2 linked regions of the Diceros bicornis minor genome follow. The protein of the gene in region 1 interacts with the protein of each later gene in a pairwise test. Links are inferred from orthologs where the notes say so. Each region holds a gene or a part of one and is shown on either strand. Other genes may lie near its edges.

The links. The genes of interacting proteins can lie anywhere in the genome.
Region 2: the proteins of TLE5 (region 1) and NEK6 interact in binary tests that used the Homo sapiens proteins (3 or more experiments, as listed by UniProt). The two-hybrid records come from large-scale screens. The link is inferred for Diceros bicornis minor from reciprocal best matches to the Homo sapiens genes TLE5 and NEK6.

Annotation. Positions count from the first base shown.
Region 1 is NW_026691553.1:2,384,927-2,395,592, reverse strand, and holds the start of TLE5 (TLE family member 5), read left to right. Parts: upstream 1-6,188; 5' UTR 6,189-6,259; coding exon 6,260-6,286; intron 6,287-7,387; coding exon 7,388-7,485; intron 7,486-9,645; coding exon 9,646-9,709; intron 9,710-10,666. UniProt on the Homo sapiens protein: Transcriptional corepressor. Acts as a dominant repressor towards other family members. Inhibits NF-kappa-B-regulated gene expression. May be required for the initiation and maintenance of the differentiated state.
Region 2 is NC_080767.1:32,841,008-32,850,430, reverse strand, and holds the start of NEK6 (serine/threonine-protein kinase Nek6), read right to left. Parts: upstream 3,282-9,423; 5' UTR 3,215-3,281; intron 2,779-3,214; exon of another isoform or gene 2,697-2,778; intron 1-2,696. UniProt on the Homo sapiens protein: Protein kinase which plays an important role in mitotic cell cycle progression. Required for chromosome segregation at metaphase-anaphase transition, robust mitotic spindle formation and cytokinesis.

The DNA.
Region 1 (10,666 bases):
CTGTCAAGTCAGAGTCTATGTGGATCCCTGTATCCATAGCATCTAGACCAGGATCACGCATACAGTCGGCGCTCAATAAATGTTCATGGAGTCAGTGAGCCCTGGGGCTGGAAAAGAAGACAGAGATTCCAAAAATGCACAAATAATAGAAGCCATCATTGCTCCTCTCTGGGCCTCAGTTTCCTCACCTGGAAAATGGGGACCATTATTCCTACCTCACTCACGCATTTCACAAATACCTGATTTTTGTACTGATTATCAATCCTTTGCCAGACGCAGGCCGTGTGCTGGGACACAGCAGGATATAGGACAGGCTCTTGTGAATCCCTTAATTGGACGGGGCAGACAGACAATAAAGAAGACTGCAATTAAACACGTTCATTTCAGAGTGATAAACGCTATTTTAAATAATAAAACAAGGTGATATCCTAAAGAATGATTGGGTGTTGTTTTTTTTTTCCATCGGACTGGTCAGCAAAGGCTTCTCCGAGGAACTGCCATTTAAGCTGAGAAGAAGCATTAAGTCCACGGGGAGATGTAGGAAAAAGCATTCCAGAGAGAGGGAACAGCATGTGCAAAGGCCCTGAGGCAACCGACTTTCCGTGTTCCTGTGCCTTGCATTATACTGATTCGGATGAAAATTGGGGGCCAACCTGGGCATAAATACATGCTCAGTCAGTGTCGGTTTATCCTCCACTCTTTTTCCATAGCAAATGGCCTGGTAAAGAAGAGGCATTTATTAAGGAAAGGAAGACGGGAGAAGGAAAAAGTAATATAATCGAATAATTACTCATTTCCTCATTCAACGAATTTGGAAAGTCACGTGATCTAAATCTGGCCAATCAGAGCATCTGTTGAGACCATAATATTGAATCAGAGTAGTCATGTGATCTAAATCTGGCCAATCAGAGGCTTCTATTGGGCCATCAACCTTGAACCCGGGATGTCAAGTGCCAGCCATCTGTGCTAAATCCTTTCCCGTCCCGTCTCATTTAAGTCTCCCAACAACCCAACAGATCCTTACACCCCGTTCCTTCATTCATGCACTCGTTCTCCATTTATCCAGCTCTGACAGCAAGCCAGGCATGTTCTAGATGCAGGGGACACAGCTGTGACCAAGACACACAAAATCCACGCCTCCTGGAGCTGGCATTCTAGGAGGAAAAAACCAACAAAATAAATACGTAAGAGACGTCGGCTGTCCGATGGTGGTGAGTCCTGGGCAGGGGGGCAGCGGCCCCGGGCCGGGGGCGCGGGAAGGACGGGAGGCGGTCACGCAAGGGAAGTGTTGGACCTGTTTTTTTTATCTTAAAGTTTGAAATTTTGTTCATTAGGGAAATTGTTTCATTTGTTGTGATCTGTTCAAAGATTGCCTGATGCAAATCAAAACCACAATGAGATGCTACGTGGCATCCACTAGGATGGCTATCGTGAGTTTTGTTTTAAATGGACAATAATAAGTGTTGGCGAGGACGTGGAGAAATTGGAAGCCTTGTGCACGGCTGCTGGGAATGTGAGATGGTGCAGCCGCTGTGGAGGACAGGATGGTGGTTCCTCAGAGAGCTAAAATAGAATTACTACATGATCTATGGCAATTCCACTCCTGGGTACACACTCAAAAGAAATGAAAACATACGTCCACATCAACACTTGCATACGCGTGTTCATGGCGACACTGCTCACGGTTGTCAGAAGATGGAAACAACCCAAGTGTCCATTTGATGATGGATCCACACAGCGTGTCCACCCACACACTGGAGTATTACACAGCCGTGAAGAGGAGTGAGGCCCTGACACAGCCACACCGTGGACGGACCCTGAACACACGACGCTCAGGGAGAGAACCAGACACAGAAGGACACACGGTGTGTGAGTCCATTGATGTGAAATGTCCAGAACAGGCAGATCCGCAGACAGAACGTGGGTTCATGTTTGCCAGGGGCTGGGGCAGGAGGATGGGAATGACTGCTAATGGAGACGGGGCTTCTTTTTGAGGTGATGGGATGTTCTGGAACCAGATAGTGGTGATGGCTGCACAACATGGTGAATGTATTAAATGTCTCTAATGGTAAACTTTATGTGTATTTTACCACAATAAAAAAAAATAGATTGCATTCAGATGTGAGGTCTGGGCCAATTTTCCTCACCAAAAAAAAAAGTCTTAAAATAGTGCTTACTGTGTTGACCGAGATTTTTGGGGTCCCCTTAAATGTTAAGCCTGAAGAAAGTGTCTCACTTGAAAGTACACTCAGCCTGGTCCCAGCCCTGCCTGAATGAACCAGGGAAGTCACAATGAGGCCACACTGAGAAGGTGACATTTAAGCCAAGACTGGGAGGAGACGAAGGAATCAGCCAAGCTGGGATTTGAGGATGAGCGTTCCAGGCAGAGGGCACAGCCCGTGCAAAGGCCCTGGGGCAGGACCGGGCCTGGCGTGTTGGAGGAACAGGGAGGAGCCCGTGTGGCTGGAGCAGAGGGAGGAGGGGGAGAGAGGGAGGAGAGAGGGCAGGGAGGGGACGGGACAGGTCGTGCAGGGTCTGGTGGGCAGCAGGGAGGACGTGGGCTTCTCCCCCGAGGGAGGTGGGAGCCCTGAAGGGCTGCGCGCAGAGGAGGGAGGGGACGTAGGTCAAGTTTTAAGCCTGTCAGCTCTGCAGGGGAAGGAATTTCGTCCTCCTTGGTCACTGCTGTAAACCTCCACTAAGAAGCACCTTGGCACACAGTAGGTGCATAAACATTTACTGAGAGAATGAATGAATACTGGCTCCATGTGGGGAAGGGGGGACTCAGGTGCAGAGCAGGAAAGTCCCGGGGCCTCCAGCCACCCGGCGGGGTCGTGCCAGGCCGAGCAGGACGGCGGAGGCTCCCGCTCCAGCAGCCCCACGGGGGAGGCCCCGGGCGGCCACCTGTTTGCTCCGGCCCCGATGAATGGCCGGGCGGCCCCATCCATCAGGCACCAGGCGGTGCCTGGCTCTGCCCAGCGGCCGCGGCCCCGCGCATGTCTAAGCAGCCCGCGAGGCCGGTCCCCGATGGTGGGATCCAGGAGACACGTCCCCGCCCCGACCTGGCCCCAGCGGTGGCCCAGAGGCCCCGGGGAGAGGACAGAGCAGGACATGGAGTCGGGGACGGGTGGGGGCCGAGGGGTGTGGGGGGCAGCCACCCAGACAGGAAGAGCTCAAAAGCCCCAATTCCCCCCAAATTAATTACACCATCAAGACTGTGCCCTCCTGGGTTGGGGCTCTGGCCGTGCCTTTCCCTCCCCGGCCGTGTTCCGTTCTTTCTGCCCCCAAAAGCTCCTCCACGCACTGGGCCTGCCCCAGCCCGCCCCTTCCTAAACCCCACTTTGGGCGTGCCCCTGGTCTGCTGGCCTCCCACCTGGCCTCGTCTATTCCATGACCAGCGAGAACCTTCCACCATCTGGCCCTAGAGGCCTCTCTCTGCTGCTCTAAGCCAGGGCTTCTCAGCTGAGGGCGACTGTGTCCCCCAGGGGACACTGGCCATGTCTGGGGACATCCGTGGCTGTCAAGACTGGGGGTGCTTCTGAGCATTGAGTGGGTGGGGCTGGGGATGCTGCTCAACCCCCTACAGTGCCCAGAACTGCCCCCCACAGAGAATAATCCAGGCCAGAACGCCAAGAGTGCAGTCTCAGAAACCTGCTCTATAGCCTCCCACGGCTTCCTAGTACCCTCCAGGTCAAGTCCCCACTCCTCAGCGCTGAATGCAGGGGCCCGCACCGTCCCGGCTCCCGGCCCCCCGCAGCCAGTATCCCCCCATGCCCTGCCTTTGTGCCCCACCCGGAGGGGCAGTCTTGCTCAGCGGTCAAGGGCCCGAGGACCTGGGTTTACATCCCGGCTCTGCCACCTCCCGGCTGTGTGATTTTGGCCAAATCACTAAACCTCTGAGTGCCTTAATTTTCCCTTCTTTCCAATGGGCACAATGGCTGCACCTAAGTTAACATGGGAAAGGCAGGGCCTGGTGCATGGTGAAAACATACACAGGTGGGTTGGTTTATTATTGCTCATGGTTTGGGTCAAAATCCTGGGCTGAAAGGCCCAGCTCTGCCCCCCAACCAGTCTGTGCTAAGTGGGAGTGCTGGTCCCCAAGGGCCAATACTGGGGGGTGCCTGCCTGGATGAGGGCCAGGCGCAGACGGCCTCCCACGAGAAAGGTGTCTGGTCCCCATGGTCCGGGGGGAGGGTGGGGATGGGGACAGGGCTGGTTTCACCGACGTGAGTCTGGTGTTGCCCCACGGGGTCCTGCACTCCAGGCCCCGGCGCCTGCTTTAATGCTCTGTTGTCACCATCTCGAAATTTCTAACCACTTTTGAACAACAAGTCCTGCCATTTCATTTCAGCCCTGGGCCCTAAAATTCTGTAGCCCGCCCCATCAGGGACTCTAGGACGATTTGTGGGGTCTGCGTATTCCAGAACCCGATGGGAATACCGAAGAACTTTCCCAAACTTGTTCCTTTTTCCTTCCAGCCTCAGGACTAGGGAGACCCTGCATTTTCGAGACTCGTCTGCGGCCCCCTCAGATGCTGTCTTATTTAATATGTGGATATTTTGCGCATTATGAATTTTTGGGGGCATTCCTTTTTATTTTTTAAAATACTGCATTCAAGTATTATTTATCTTGAAGGCTTTTTGCTCTGGGGGGAGACTTAAAATTTTGCTTATTTATGTCACCCTAGTCCCGGCCCCTCATGTGCCCAGGAAAGGGGACCGGGGTCCTAACCATTTTACAGATGGGAGAAGCAAGGGCCCAGAGAAGTTAGACACATCCAGGGAGGCAAGCTGCACAGACGATGACGAGGAGAATTCAGACTGCGGTTAGCACGTGCCAGGGGTTGATGGGCATTATTTCAACAGCTTCTCTGAGGTCTGTCCTCCACGTGGCCGCGAGCAGATCCCATCAAAATCTGAGTCAGAGCCGCCCCTCCTCTGCCCACAGCCCTCCAGTGCCCCACCTCTCTCAGGGGAAAAGCCCGAGTCCTCCCCTCGGCCCACCAGGCCCTGCACCATCTGCCCTGGTCCTGTCACCAGCTACAGAATTTGCAGGGCCCAATGCAAAACGAAACTATCAGGCCCCTCCTTCAAAAATTATTAGGAATTTCCAGACCACAACAGTAGATCATTAACCCAAGCGCAGGCCCTTCTGGGAGCCGGGCCCCTGTGCGAATGCGTCAAGCTGCTGGCCCTGCCTCCCTGCCCTGGTTTCCTCCTATGGTCCCCCGGTGCCAGGCACAGTGCTGCCTCAGGGCCTTTGCACTTGCTGCTTCTGCCTCCCTGAACGAGCCTCCACGCCGGCAGACCTCCACCAGCTCCCTCTCTCAGCTTCCGGTCCTCTCTGCTTCAAGGAGGGCCTCTCTGCCTCCCTCTGTTTGAAATCGCACCTACCTGGCCCTGCTCTCTGCCTTATTTTCTCCATAGCTGTTACCACCATCTGACCCGCCAGGGACTTGGCTGGTGTCTTCGTGTGTGTTCGTCTCTAGCGTGCCCCATGTCGTCTCCCCCAGAGTAAAGACGTTGTCTCCACCCCCCGCCCTGGCCCCCACGCCCTGGAGCAGGGCCTGGCACACAGTAGGCGCTCAATGAACGCGTGGGGAAGGCACGGCCCCCAGGAGGCCGGCGGTACCGCCGCCGCCTTGCTTCCGAGGAGGAAACCGAGGCTCGAGAGAGCAGCCGGCGAGCCGAGGCTGCAGAGCGTGTCCCTGGCACGCGTCCAGGTCGCGCCATGACAGCCGGCCGTGGCGAGGGGGCGGCGGGCCCCTTTCCTTGACAGATGGGGAAACCGAGGCCCCCGCGGCCGCCAGGGCCACCGGGGCCGCCGGGCGGGGGGGGCGGGCGCGCGCCGTGCCCAAGGTCACCGCGCCGGGCGAGGGGCGGCCCGGGGGAGGGGCTCGGCGGGCCTCCCCGGGCGCGCGCCCCCCTCGGCGGCGCGCACGGGGCCCGGGCGGCGGCGGCGGCAGGTGGAGCGGGAGCCTCCGCGCAGCCGAGGCCGCGGCCCCGCCGGCGGCGCCGCCATTAGACAATAGGAGCGGCGGGGAGGGCGCCGGGCGCGCAGGAAGCGGGGCCCGGGGCGCGCCGGGGCCGGGCGCGCGGGGAGGGGGCGCAGGAAGCGGGCGAGGCCGGGCGCGGGAGGCGGCGGCGGGGCCCCGGGAGCTGCCGATCGGCGCCGGGACAAAGGCGCGGCCGCCCGGCGCCCCGAGCCGCCCGAGCCGGGGCGCACAGCCGGGGCGCAGCCCGCGCCCCCCGCCGCGACTGACATGATGTTTCCACAAAGCAGGCATTCGGTAAGCGGGGCCCGCCGGGGCCGCTCGGGGCCCGCGCCCCCCCCCAGGTCGGGGCCCGGCACCCCCCTCCAGCTCCAGGCCGTGCGCCCCCCCCCAGATCCGGGCCCGGCGCCCCCCCCAGGTCCCGCGTCCGGCACCCCCAGTTCCCAGCCCGGCCATTTCCCCCCCAGGTCCGGGCCTTGTGCCCCCCTAGATCCGGGCCTGGCACCCCCAGTTTCCAGCCCGGCCATTTCCCCCCCAGGTCCGGGCCCTGTGCGCCCCTAGATCCGGGCCCGGCGCCTCCCCCCAACTCCTGGGCCCTGTCCCTTCCAGCTCCAGGCCCAGCGCTGCTCCCCCCCCAGCTCCCAGGGCTCCCCCACCACGCAGCTCCCAGTCCCCCTCCCAGCTTCCGGGCCCGGAGTCCCCCCCCCCAGCTCCCTGGCCGGGTCCCCTCCAGCTCCCGGCCCTGCGCCCCCGCCCCGCAGCCCCTGGGCCCTGCGCCCCCCCACGGAGCCCGGCAGGGCCTGAGCGGCCTTGGCGTCGGGCCTGGGGCGCCCCTAACGCAGGGGCTGCTCTCGGTGCCCGGGAGTGAGGGGAGATCCGAGACGCACCCCTCCCGGAAGGGCCCGGAGGAGGGGTGCCGGGAATCGGGGGGCCCCCCAGGAGATTTGGGGCGCTGAGAGGGGCCCCTCCCCCAACGGGACTTTGCAGGGAGGCCTCGCTCCCTGCCAGCTTGGGGAGGGGGCTCCCCGGGACGCGTCCCCACCGCCCTCCCAGAGGCAGTCGGGGCGCTCAATGTGCGCCCCCCTCCCTGCGCTTTGGAGGGGCGGTAGAGGGCGCACCCTGGGTCCCCGAGGGCGGGCCTTCAGCGCACCCCCCAGCCCGGGGGTGGCGGGGACAAGGCGGCTCCGGGGCGCGCCCACCCCCTGGCTTCCCTCGGGAGAGGCAGGGCAGGAAGCGAGGGCGGGGGCGCGCCGGGGGCTGTAAACACCGGCCCGGGAAGTGGGGCGCGGGGGGCGGGGGCGCTGCAGCTGGGCCTGCCGGGCCTCAGGGCCGCCCGGGAGGGAGCCCCCCCGCCCCCCGCCCGGCCCTGACCCTGACCCGGCCGCCCCCTCCCCGCAGGGCTCGTCGCACCTACCCCAGCAACTCAAATTCACCACCTCGGACTCCTGCGACCGCATCAAGGACGAGTTCCAGCTGCTGCAGGCCCAGTACCACAGGTGAGGAGGGCGCCCCCGCGCAGGCGCAGCACCGCGGCCTGGGGCGAGGTCGTGGCCCCTGCTGTATACATCCTGAGCACTGGACCAAGAGTAAACTCACTTCCTCTTCCCAACAGTCCCATTTCACAGATGGGAAAATTGAGGCGCAGAAAGTTAAATCATTTGCCCGAGACTCGTGGCTTCAGAGCCCCCCTCCCACCCCCATCCCTACTGGATAACAGACCTCCCAATAACTGTCGGGGGTCCCTCCACCCGCCCACCCCCCCAAAAAAGAATTCTGTAGCCTGCTATACGTCTCTCTGCTAGTTTTGCAGAAAGCGTCCCGGCAGCCAACAGATTCTCGAAGGTGCTTCTCCCTCCAGAATGGAATCTGCTGACCTGTCTGCAGGGCCTGCCCTCTGCCCCATCTGAGGGGAAGGAGCTATTGTTATCTCCATTTTCCGCCTGAGAAACTGAAGCCCAGAGAGGTTAGGGATTTCCCGGGGACGCACAGCAAGCAAGTGGCGGAACTGAGAGTTGCACCCGATCTCTCTGGGTTGAAGAAGGCCTGGGGGGGCGTCCAAGGCCTCTCTGGACCTCAGTTTACCCACACACAAGTGTTCTTTGAAGGATGCTGGGTTTCCTCGAAGAAAAAAGGGAGAATAGTGAGTTTTTCGGTTTTTTTACAAACATCCAGCCTCTTGGAGGTGCTTCTTAGACTCCTCATGTGCTAAATACTGAACAGACATCCTCTCGTTTAAATCTTTCTTGTTGTCCCATAATCGTGCCCATTTTAAAGGTGGGGAAACTGAGGCACGGGCAGTTGGAAGGCAGGCCCCAGGAATTTGTTCTGGTCTGCGATGTGCAGGGGTCTGGTTGGCCTTTCCGAGCCCCTCCAAGGGGTCCTCCGCTCCCCGACCCCGGCCCTGCCCCCCGCACAGTGACCGTGGGGTGGTCCAGTCGCAGACACCGAGCGTCATATTGCTGCCACAGTGCTGTGTGACCTCGGGGGGGCCAGAGCCCCTCTCTGTGCTTTGGGGTCTCCGTGCACTGGACCCGCACTTCCCTCTATCCAGTGAGGGGCCCTGGCACGTTGGGGGCACACACCAGATCTGCCAGGAATCCAGAGTCTGGGATGAGATTGCGATTTTCTTTTTTTTTAAGTGGGGTTAACAAATGCGCATTTTTAAAGCAAATTAGAGAAAATAAACTCGTGGAGGCCACGGCGACCCCAGCTGCTGTCCAAGTCCCGGTCAGTCTGGTGGAGTGAAGCGCCAGGCTCCTGGGGTGACCATACGATCACCAAGCACTCATTAGATGCTTAGTGTATGCCAGGCGTCGTCCTAAGAGCGTTTCTGGTCTTAATCCGTGTCATCCTTGCCAGCCCACCCCGGGAGGTGGGTACTTAACAGACGCAAAGATTGAGGCCCAGAGGGGTAGAGACGTTGGCCCAGAGTCACACAGCATCGAAGGAACACGGCGGCGTTGAACCCAGTCCGGCAGCCTTGAGTCTGTGCTGTCGGCTCCCCCTTGGGGGGCTTCGAGAAATGCCCGCAGCTCGTCCTTACTGGGGGAGGCCGGGGTCACCATCCATTACCCAGCAGTGGAACTTGCACCTCCTCATGAAATCAAAGCCCACGGCAGGGGGGGGCCTGGACCACCTTGGGGATTCCTCGGTGAGTCCACCCCAGAGCCCTCCAGCCGGCCCCCGGCCTCTCAGCCCCTCTGCGGTCTCGGCCTGTTCCTCTCTTGCTGGAGACTTTTCCCCAGTGGCTGAGAGTGTGGCCTCTGAAGCCAGCTTCCCGGCTGTGTGACCTGGAGACAGTTCCTCACCCTCTCTGGGCATCCACTGCGTTATCTGCTAAATGAGCGTGATGCTAACAGGACCGACCTCAGGGGGATTCGGGATGGGTAAAGGTTCTCTGAATCCCCCTCTGACCAAGAGTCGGGGTTTTCGCTCTGACTTCTGTTATTTTTATTATCGTCGTCGTCGTTCTCCACCACCCGACCTGCGAGGCTGGTTTCGTAATTCCCGTCATACCTGGGGAACCTGGGGGTCTCTATGCCCGCCCCATCCTCACAGAGGAGGGCGTGTGTGTCCCCCATCGAAGTTCGGGGTTCCCCTGCGCCTCGGGGGGACCTCAGCCCAGCGCCCGCCCCCTCCCCCCTCTCCCTCTTCAGCCTGAAGCTCGAATGTGACAAACTGGCCAGTGAGAAGTCGGAGATGCAGCGTCATTACGTGATGGTAAGCGGCCCCGGGTGGGGGGACGGGCGTGGGGGACCCCGGACCCTCCTCCCTGCCAGCACCCCGGCCTCCTCCTCCGGGAAGCGGGAGGAGTCAGGGTCTGCTCTCCATCCCGCGGCCCCTGGAGCCCGGCTGCGTCCGCCTCGCTGGCCTGGCTGGCGGCCCGGGAGGTGGCGGAGGTGCCAAGCCACCGGGTTGCAGCCCGAGCCTGCCAGGTCCCCCGGCTGGCCTTGGCAGCCGAGGAGGCGGCTGTGGGAGCCAGAGCCAGGAACTGACGTGGGGGAGCAGCCGGATCCCCCCCACCCCGGGCGTCCGGCCGCTTAACCCCTCCTCGCCCGGGGAGGCGGACTCCTGGGGGTGACGCCCTTTGGGGTTCGTGGGGGGCAGGGGGTGACACTGCCTTCTCTGGCCTGACATTTGAGACCCTGTCGGAATCACTTGCTCGGTTTTATACCCACCAGGTGGCGATTTTGGCCTCAAAAACCCCTGCTTTGGTCCAGCCAGAGCCCCACTTTCCCAGGCCATGGGGAAGGAAGAGCCAGACTCTGCCCCTTGCGGCCCCAGAAGGATGGGGCTGGGGCAGAGAGAGGGCCCCGGGATTGGGGGGCCCTGAGGGGAAAAGGCTACCTGAGGAAGGCTGCATGGAGAGTGGGGCACTGCAGCTGGGGTCTTGATGAACCAGTAGGAGTTTTCTGGGCAGAGAAAGGGAAACCATGCAAGGGCCTGGAACGAACTTGGCTCCCCCCCTCCCCGGTGATGGGGAGCCATGGCACCGTTTAGAGCAGGGGAGGGGCAGGGTCAGATCTAGGGCGTCGGGAGGGGGGCTGCCTGCCTGGGAGCCCAAGCCAGCAAGCTTTGTTTATCCTCGATTATTTATATCCAGGAAGGCAAACTTCCCTGGAGTCTGGGGCCACCCGCAGACAAGACACATAAAGATAAGAGATTAGGAGCCTTGGA
Region 2 (9,423 bases), on another chromosome or scaffold:
TCTGCTATTTGCCAGTTTATGACCCTGCCCAGGTTACTTAACCTTCCTGAGCCTACATCTTCCTCTCTGCAAGATCAGGATAACAATCCTGGACCTTAGCCCCGGGCCAGACGCACGTACACAGCAACTGTTACTTTCCAGGTTCAGTGGGAAGACTGGGTTCTGCTCAGTCAAGCCTGGCTTCAAATCCAGGGTCAACGGCATATTAGCACATAATCTTCACATTATTTAATCTCTCTGTGCCCCAGTTTCCTCATCTGTAAAATGGGCATCATGATTGTTCCCATCGCACAGTGCGGGTGAGTGGATTGAGCGGGACACGGCACTTAAAGCTTTCAGTACCCTTCGTGGCACATGGTATACCCTCAATAAATGGTGGCCACTGGTTGTAGCAATACTTTCATAAAATTACACACATTGTTTCATCCCTCTGAGCCCCGGTTTTCTCATCTGTAAAATGGAGACAGAATCCCCTACCTCCCAGTGAAAATTAAATGCATGGATGCCTGTTAAAGCACTCAGCACACAGTCTGTGCACCTTCAGAAGGCACATGTCATGCTCCCGGGGGAATGGAAAGAGGATGGGCGTGAAGTCAGGCAGGTGACAGGAATCTGTGTCCCAGGACACAGGCTTGACCCCTCTGAGCCTCAGTTCCTTGTGCACATAAAACCGAAAGCCATTCTCTGCAGGATGACTATCCTGCAGCCCTTCTCTCCGCACGCAGTGGGTGCTCCATAAATGTGACTTCTCTTTCCCTTTCCCTGTTCGTTCCTTGCTCAAAGCCACCAGCAGTGCCACCTGGCAAAGCCAGGAGCTCCGTTTCTTGAAACCCGAACGGCCCTAAATCCAGACCAACCTGGGCTGCTGCTTAAGTCTGAGACTCTGTCTTGTGAAGACAGAAACTACTTTTTAGTCATTTCCGAAGCAGACGGGACGCAGGGGCTGACAAACCACAGGGACCATTTTAAATCCTGGGCTTTTCTTCTGGGAAGTTAGGCAAGAACCTTCCCAAATGTTTGCCCGTGGGGCTCTCTGCCAGGGAGTGACTCATCCGCAGCTCCCCACAGGCATATTTTATTTGGGGGTGGGGGATAGAGGGAGGGCTTGGCCTTGCTGGGGGAAGGGGAGGCGGCATTTCCAGCAAATCCAGAAGGTGTTGTTTTTCATTTTTTAGGACAAAAAGAAAAAGAATGTGGGTCTTTTTTGTTTCCTTCCAGGTTTTGTTTGCTAAAAGACCACGTTCAAAGTTCACTCGGTAAGCTGCCGTGTTGGGAACAGGCGCCTCCAGCCAGCTCTGCATCCCTTTCAATGAAATTCTTCTTCCATTAACGCTACGGTTTTTAAATGGGCCTCCCAGGTTTGCCTGCGCAGACACTGAGCTCCTAAGACGACATTTTCCCCTCGGAAAGGAGAGCTGAATTTTGACAATTCAGAGGAACGAGGGAGCTCCAGACTTTCTGAAGTTTGCCTTAAAGCAATTAAGACTTTCGACTGCAGAGATTTTCAACGTTCATAAAGCCCCCAAAAACCTGTCAGTCAAACCTACAAGGACAGACCTTGGAAGACAGTGTCCCAAGCCTGCTGTGATCAATTTGTTATTGTCTCGGGGCTTTCACATGGAGCCCAGGCTGGATACAAATAAATCAGATGCATACGTATCTACTCAGGGAGGCAGGCAGAGGGAGACCCCCAGATACACAGACAAGCGACTCCAGACCCCTGGTCTCCCCGGGGGGTGAGCCCCCCAGGGAACCAGGGCCAGAGAGGGGCAAGAACAAAGCCAGGGGACCCAGAGGGCACTTAGGAAGAACTGAACACAAGTCCTCCAGTGCCAGGCCCATCACAGCCGCAGCCCAGCCTGTGCGCCCTGGAGTCCCACAGATGGTCCTGCCAGTGGCCCTGCCCCGGCCTGGCTCTGGGGCCACGCCCCCTGCCAGGCCCAGCAGGGATCTGTGGGTCTGACCTCTGGCTCTTCACTCACCAAACAAGGCCCGGCACCCACTGGGTGCCCGCCAGGCCTGCTTCTCTCCACGGGCCCCCTGCATGGGGGCCAGCTGTGGGCACATCACGTAGCAGGCCCGGTAGGCACAAAGGGGGGCCCTCAGCCTCCATAATAAACACACACACACACTCCTGGACACAAATTACACGCTCACATCCACATACACACACTTTTGTCCTCACAGGCTCACAAACGCGCACACAAATCACTTGTGAACACTCATGCACGTGCATGCACACACACATACTCCCTGAATCCACACAGAGTGGGTCACAAAATGAGAATACACGAGAAGCCCCTGGCACACTCCTTGGCACAGAGAACACACTCAGTAAACGGATAAGGGGGAGCCATGCCCATTCCCCCGCACTCGTTCACACCAAACAACACAACCCTGACACGCCGATGTGCACACGCACACACTCCTGCGAACACAGCCCCGGGGACAGCTGGACACGCCGCCCACGCACGCTTGGACGCACGGCCGCGGACACACTCAGACTCGCACGCTCACACGCGCCCCGACCTCACGCGTGCACAGCCGCCCGCTCTCCCCCGCGGAGCCCCGGGCGCGCGCGCGGGCACGCGCACCCCGCTCGGCCCGGGTGTGGGTGACGGCCCCGCGGCCCGGCCCCCGCCCCTTCCCCGGCCTGCGCCGGCCCGATCCGGCCGGCCCGGCCCCAGGCCACTCACCGGCGCGCGGGCGGGCTCGGCTGCCGGCGGGAGGCGCGGCGCGCGGACGGCGGGCGCCGGCGGCAGCGGCGGGTCCCACACGAGTCGGCGGCGCCGCGGCCGCACGCTCGTCCGCTCGGTTCCGCCGCCGCCTGCGCGGGCTCGCGCGCGCGCTCCCGCCCCTCCCCGCCGCGGGCCCGCGCCGCCCCCTGCGCTCGTGCGCGCTGCCGCCACGCAGGCTCGGGGGGCGCCCCCGCGGCGCCCTCGCCGCGCCGGGATCCCTCCACTGCCCCCAGCGTTTTGGGCAGCGAGTGGTCCGCTCAGCCGAGGCGCCCCCTCCCCGTTTCAGAGATGGGGAAACTGAGGCCCAAGCTCACACCGCGAGTCGGGCCCAGTATCTCCCCCTCTTCTCGGGCTCTAGACCCTTAGGGTTAGAGTCTGCACTCAGCCAACCCCGGGGACCCCTCCCACGCACTGTTGAGTACCCATCGCCTGACACTGCTCCCATCACAGCCCCGGTTGCACTGAAATGGGCTAACCAACGAGCGCTTATTTACGCCTGCTGAATGTGGGCACGAAGCAGGCTCCGAAAGTATGTCGATGTGGTGAAGGTGCTGCTCCCCGCCCTCAGCGCCAACGTCTCCCCGTCTGGCGCTCCCCGCTTCCTGTGGATCCCAGAACCAGCACGTCAATGTGCAGAGGTTTCTGGAAGAAGTCAGACTCCCCTAATGAATGCTTGTCACACCCTCTAAGGAGACAGTCTCCATGGGGGCCCAAGGGCAGCAGCTCAGTTCCCCGCCTCACTTCCTAAGGGGACCCGCCCCCCCCCGCCCCCCCAAAAGGGGACGCTCCTGGCTCGGACAGTTCCTGTTTCCACACTTGCTGCTTCTCCACCACATGCAAAACTGCCGGAACCAGAGACTGACACTGCCTGCCTGCCAGCTGCCCAGCTTGATCATAGCGCTGTGCTGGGTGCAGGCGGATGCCCGCTGGGCCTCGTTTGCCCGGTGAGTGAACATGTTTCCACTGGCTGTGAGCTATAACAATAATGTCACCCACTGAACCCCCGCTGTGTGCGGGACTCGCGGCTGCACGCTCTGCCTGCCTTGTGGTGTTCAGTCCCGCCGCTAGTCTCAGAAGGAGTCATTATGCTACTTTCGTGCCCATTTTACAGCAAACGAGGCTTAGAACTGAAGCTTAGAGAAGCAAATTCTCTTGCCCAAAGTCACCCAGCTGGTAAGTGGTTGAGCTAGAAGCTGGACCGCAGATTGTCTACTTCCAGTGCCTGTGTGCCTAATCTACGCAGTCTCACCTCATGAGCAGCATAGCTCTGGGCTGCTGGTGTAAGAAGGGGCAGACCGGGCAGCAGCCGATCCAGAGGAGCCAGCCCAGTCCAGCCCTTCCACGAACCAACAGGGATGAAATGGATCACTCTGCACATTGGTTAGCTGTTTAATTGGGGATCTGTTTACAACCTCACCTCGCATGATATACCTTGCAGTAAATGTCAGATAGATGAAGATTGAAGAGTTAAATATGAGAAATAAACATTGCAAAAAGTAATCGAAAGACAGAAGTTCTGAGACAGTGTGTTGCAGTGTTACTAGCGGATCAGTGATATTGGCTATACTCGTGCAGCAAACATTAGTTCATTCATTCATTCACCGGACACGTATCCACAAACGCCTTCTATGGGACGGGTACTATTCTAGGCACTGGGATATGCTCGCGAACAAAATATAACCCTGACTCTCTTAGGGCTTCCATCTGGGAGTGGGGGCTGGGAGGAAGAAAAGTACCTGGCATGATGAGGATAATAAGTCTGGTGGAGAAAATAAAGCAGAGAAGGGGGAGGAGAGCCCAGGAGCGCTTTTTCATAGCGGTGCTGGGAGAAGGCCTCTCTGATGAGGTGACATTTGAGCAGAGCCCTGTATGAGGGGAAGTGACTAGGACAGGCCCCATGCTCCGAGACCCGTCCTGGTACGCTACAGAGCAAGAACCTGAAATTCCCCTTTGAAGGAAACTCGGGGAGCAGCACCAGACCACTGGGGCCCTGGCAAGTATCTGTGTAAAACTCTACCATTTGCAAAGCCCCTTTCCAGCCTCACAGAGCCCCTGTAACAGGTACTCCTAGTGTCCTCATTTTCCAGTTAGGAAACGGAGGCCCAGAGCGGTCAAGCAATGTGCCCCAGGTCACACAGCCAGCCACAATCAACAGAGATGGGTCTGGCTGCAGGCCAGCTGATGGCTGCTGCTGAGTGCTAGGGGAATGAAGAAGTCCTTCCAGCCCCTTCCTTCCCTCTTGGACTATAATTCAGGAATGGGAGGGGGTGGCCCAGGCTTTTGCTGTAGGTTTCTAGAAACAGGAGGGTGCAGCAGCAGGACTGTGGGAGAGGGGATGGGAGAAGTCATCTCCACCCCGTTTTCCTGGCCTTCCTCCTCCTCGCCCCCTACTTCCTACCCTTTGGCCTGGTCCCAGCCCCTGGTGACATGCTGGGGGAAAAATAGGTTAAATTCTGCCCAGAGACCCTCCAGACTCCCTGCACTCCCCCCACTCTCCTGGCCAGGGCAGGGGGTGGAGGGAAAAGGTACGACGCAACCTGAGCCCCACTCAACTTTTGTTTTTAACTCAAAGGATTTTTCAGCGAGTCCCCAAATGAGTCACCTCGAAGAGGTGCTTCGCAAAATGACTCCCAGAATTAGAATCAACGTCTCCCTGCGCACGGGGCTGACACTTCCTCCCGCAGTGGCGTCTGTGACTCTGGTCTGGGAGAAAGGCGCTCTCTGTGCACCCCCCAGAGTTTCTGGATGAAGCCTGTGTCGTTTCATTATTTCTCTGCGTTAGGGGAAGGGCAGCCAGTCTTCCTGGGCATCTTCTCCGAGCCCGGCTCTGCGTGAGGCATTTCATTCTCGCAGTGTCCCTCCAGATGGGTCAGAATTTCTGTCTTACAGATGAAGAAGCTGAGGTTCAGAGAAGTCAGGTGGTTTGAACACAGCCAGGATCTGAACCCGGTTTACCCAAAGCCTCTATTCTTGTCAGTATTTGGGGGAGGGGTAGTGGGGGGGAAGGGGGGGTGAAGTATTAGAATCAGACCATGTTCCTTTGAAGGCCCTTGTCCAAATGTCTTCTCGCCAGCCTCCTGACAATAATTTTTGTGGGGGGCTAGTCTTGGTTTTCCCAGGAAGTCTGGTTTGTGCTTGTCGCCGGGGCATGATTATTAATAGCACCACTTTCACTCCAAAAGTGTCTCGATTTGGATAATTCACTTTAGGGTCGCCCTGGTTGTTTGCAAATGTCATCGTGTTGGGGGATTCAGATTTTATATTATATCAAATACAAAATGGGGGCCTCTTGTCTGCTGGACCTTCTCCGCATCCTGATGTGTGCATAGCTGACCAAGAACTTTCACAAGAGTTCATGGGGCTTTTTGGGAGCAGCAAACCCAGCTGGCTGGGGAAGGAATCAGGACTTGGGACTCCCTCCCACCCCAGCTCTGCCAGTCCCTTCCCCACTGGCCCCCAGCTATCTCCTTCTTTTCTCTGGAGGGAACCAGTGTTGCCAAACACACCGTTCCCAGACAGAGTGTTTTGTGTGAGTGTGTGTGTATATATGTGGGTGTATGTGTATTTTTTTTTCTTTTCCTATTTTTAGCCCAAGTGATAGTATCTGATCCACGCTGCTGAACACCTTGTGTTTTCTTCACTTCTTGGAGATCACTTCCTATCACTCCATGGACAGCTATTTCCTTTTTTATGACTGCATAGTATTTCAGAATATTTGTATTTAATCCACGTTTAGCAAGTACCTGCTCTGTGTACCATTCTAAGCAACTTGGGAGATAATGGAATTTTCAGCCACAGCCCCTGCCCTCAGGACTTACAGTCTGGTTGGGGGACAAGAAAAATAGAAAATATTGGAGGGATGTAGAAGAGCATTTTCTCCAATGGCCCCCAAGTTCATTTATGAGGTTTGGCTTTGGGGCTGATATATATATATTTTAATTCTTAGCTCCAGGTATCTGTAGGGTTGTTGAAAGAGTGCAGGCATGGGTTCTTTTGAGACTTGAAAACTCAAGTTGCAAGTTCGGGCCATCCGTCTCATTCTGGGCCTCAGTTTGCTCGTCTGTAAAATGGGGGCAGTCAGCCTCTGTCACAGGATTGCAGTGATCACATGAAATTGTATTCCTGAGAATACTTGGTGAAGAGTTAAATGCTGTGCTCCGGGGCTGGAAGATCTGCAGAGGCTAAGACGAGGCTCTAAGGCAGGGTACGTTAGTGCAGGTGTCCTGGCTCTTCCTGGTAAGCCTTTCATGCTTTGCTGATCCTGTGATACAGCCTGCTGAACAGTTCTCTCCTCCCACCTTTCACAGCTACGGTCACGAACTCCGAGTCCGCTACAGGCTTGACACGGTAGACCCAACACCCAGGAGGCCCCAGAATGTGGAAACAACACAGGTTAACCGTCTCAGGGAGGGCCTTCGGGGATTGTTATTCCGACTCTCACTTTACAGACGGGACCAGTTCAAGGCCATGCAGCCAGCAAGAGGCAGAAATGCACGCGGTAATGTCCCCACATCCCTGCCTCTCCCTCATTCCCTCCACCAGCCTCTGACACGTGCCGTTTCAACTAACAGATTCAAATCCTACCAACCCGCAGTGAGTACCAAGAACTGTGCCTTTCACGGACGTTCCCTCAGCTGACCTTCTCAACCACACTTTGAGGTAGTGATCATTGCCCATTTTGCAGATGTGGAAACTGAGGCTCAGAGACCGTTGATACTAAAATAACAAAGGAGTTGGTGCTATGTCAGCCCCCACAAGAGACCCTCAAAATCATGGTGCTCCTACATAAAAGAGTTGGCATTTGTGGCTACCGAGAGGCATCAGTCACGGAGACAGGAACTGTGGAAATGTCATTTTGGCCTCTGAAGGAGTTTTGTAAGCTCACGAAACACTGGGACGTGGACCCTGCTCTGCTTTCTGGATGCGTGTCGCCTCCTGATAGTGAGCTGAATGAGACTCTCTGGCTGTGGCTCTTCTTCTCTCCTCCCCTGGGGTCGGGGTGTGATGGGTTCACCTGTATCTGAGCCTGGCATAGGGAGGACACAAGATTCACAGTGTGACCAGAGGTCCCTGCCTGCCCAGGATGGTCCTGGGTCATGCCTGCTGTCCCAGCACCATCCATAACAGCGTCCCCTTTCACTCTCACAAGTGTCCTGGATTGGACAATAAATTATATGGCTGCCCTGTTATTCATGTCAAATGAAACAATAACTGGCCGGATGAATAAATAAGCAATCATCGCAGTTGAGGACTAAGTAATCTAATCGTGTCCTCTGCGCATCAGCTCTGGATATGGGGATCCATGTTCCCGATGAGAAAGTTTGCAGGTGAGAAAATTGATGCAGGGAGAGCTTACCCAATTTGTCTAAAACACAATTTAAGAGGGCGTCTGACGGGTCCAGAATCTCTGTTCCAACTCACTGTGCTTGGAACCAGCAGGGTCCCACGCTGGCCATATTTCTCCCCCAGGCGTCCAGGTATCCCCTTGGCTTTTGGGGGCAAGTGAGGAGGTCGAAGTGCCCTTCCTGAAACTCCTGGGGTATGTGGCTAGAGTGAGTCTCCTCTGAGCCTGAGGCCTCCCCTGCGTGCCCACCGGGGCTGGCTGCTCTCAGAGCAGACGGAGGCAAGGGGCCCCTGGATTTAAGGCTGATGACATCATCCCCCCGTCAATCTCAGATGCCCCCCAAAGGAGGGTGTGCCCCTGGTCTCTCAGCCCTGCCCCTGAGTTGCTGGGAGTGGGTGTAACTTTTCCGGGCTGCAGGACATGCCAGGCCTGTCTTGGGGGTGAGGGCAGGAAGACCCAGACAGAGACTGGCAAACAGGGATGGGAGTGGGGCGGAGGAGGCCAGGCAGGGAATCAGAGGAGATTTGGTTAGGTTTCTTTGAGAAGGGGCTTGCAGGGGTCTGGGCACCGCCACTCCCTCCCCCCAGCCTCAAACCAGCCCTCCCGACCAGGGGTGGCAACAGAGTGGGACTAACGCATCACCGGGAAAGGAAATCCATTTTCCCTCATTCAATGTTGTTCTGAGGGACCTGGTCCAGGGTGGCCTGGCTGTTTTGGGGTGATTCCCTTGAGGCAGAGTGTAAGGGTCGAGGGGCACCCTGGAGGAGGGGCAGTGAGTCTGGGGGCTCCGGAAACCCTGAAGCCAGAGGTGCACGTGGGCCTGCTCTGCTGCAAGCCCCAGGCGCTGGGCTCTGACCTGAGCTGCTCAGGCGGACCCCTGGGATAGGGGGCCATTTTGACCCCAGGCTTTCTGCCTGAAGCCAGTTGCCAAAAACCACAACCCTTGCTCTGCCATCAGCCCCCCAGGACTGGGCTGGGCCAGGCGGCCTTGGCAGGAACTCAGCCTCGAGCCAATCAGACCGGGCTTCAAAGCCCGCCTCTGCCGCCCACTAGCAGTGCGACTTGAACAAGTCACCTCACCAACCAGAGCCTCAGTTTCCTCATCAGGAAATTGGAGGTGATAAGATCTTTCTCAGCAGGTCATGATTAAGTGAAGACACCAAGCCAGCGCTTGGCTGAAAATAGTATTAGCTGTTTGTCAGGCTCAGAATCTAACATTTGACATTTGACATATGTCATTTCATTTAATCATCCCAACAAGCCTGTGAGGTGGGTGCCAGTGTTAACTCCCTTTACAGATACTTGTATCGCTGGGTATTTGCCTCAGTTTCCCTGCCTGAC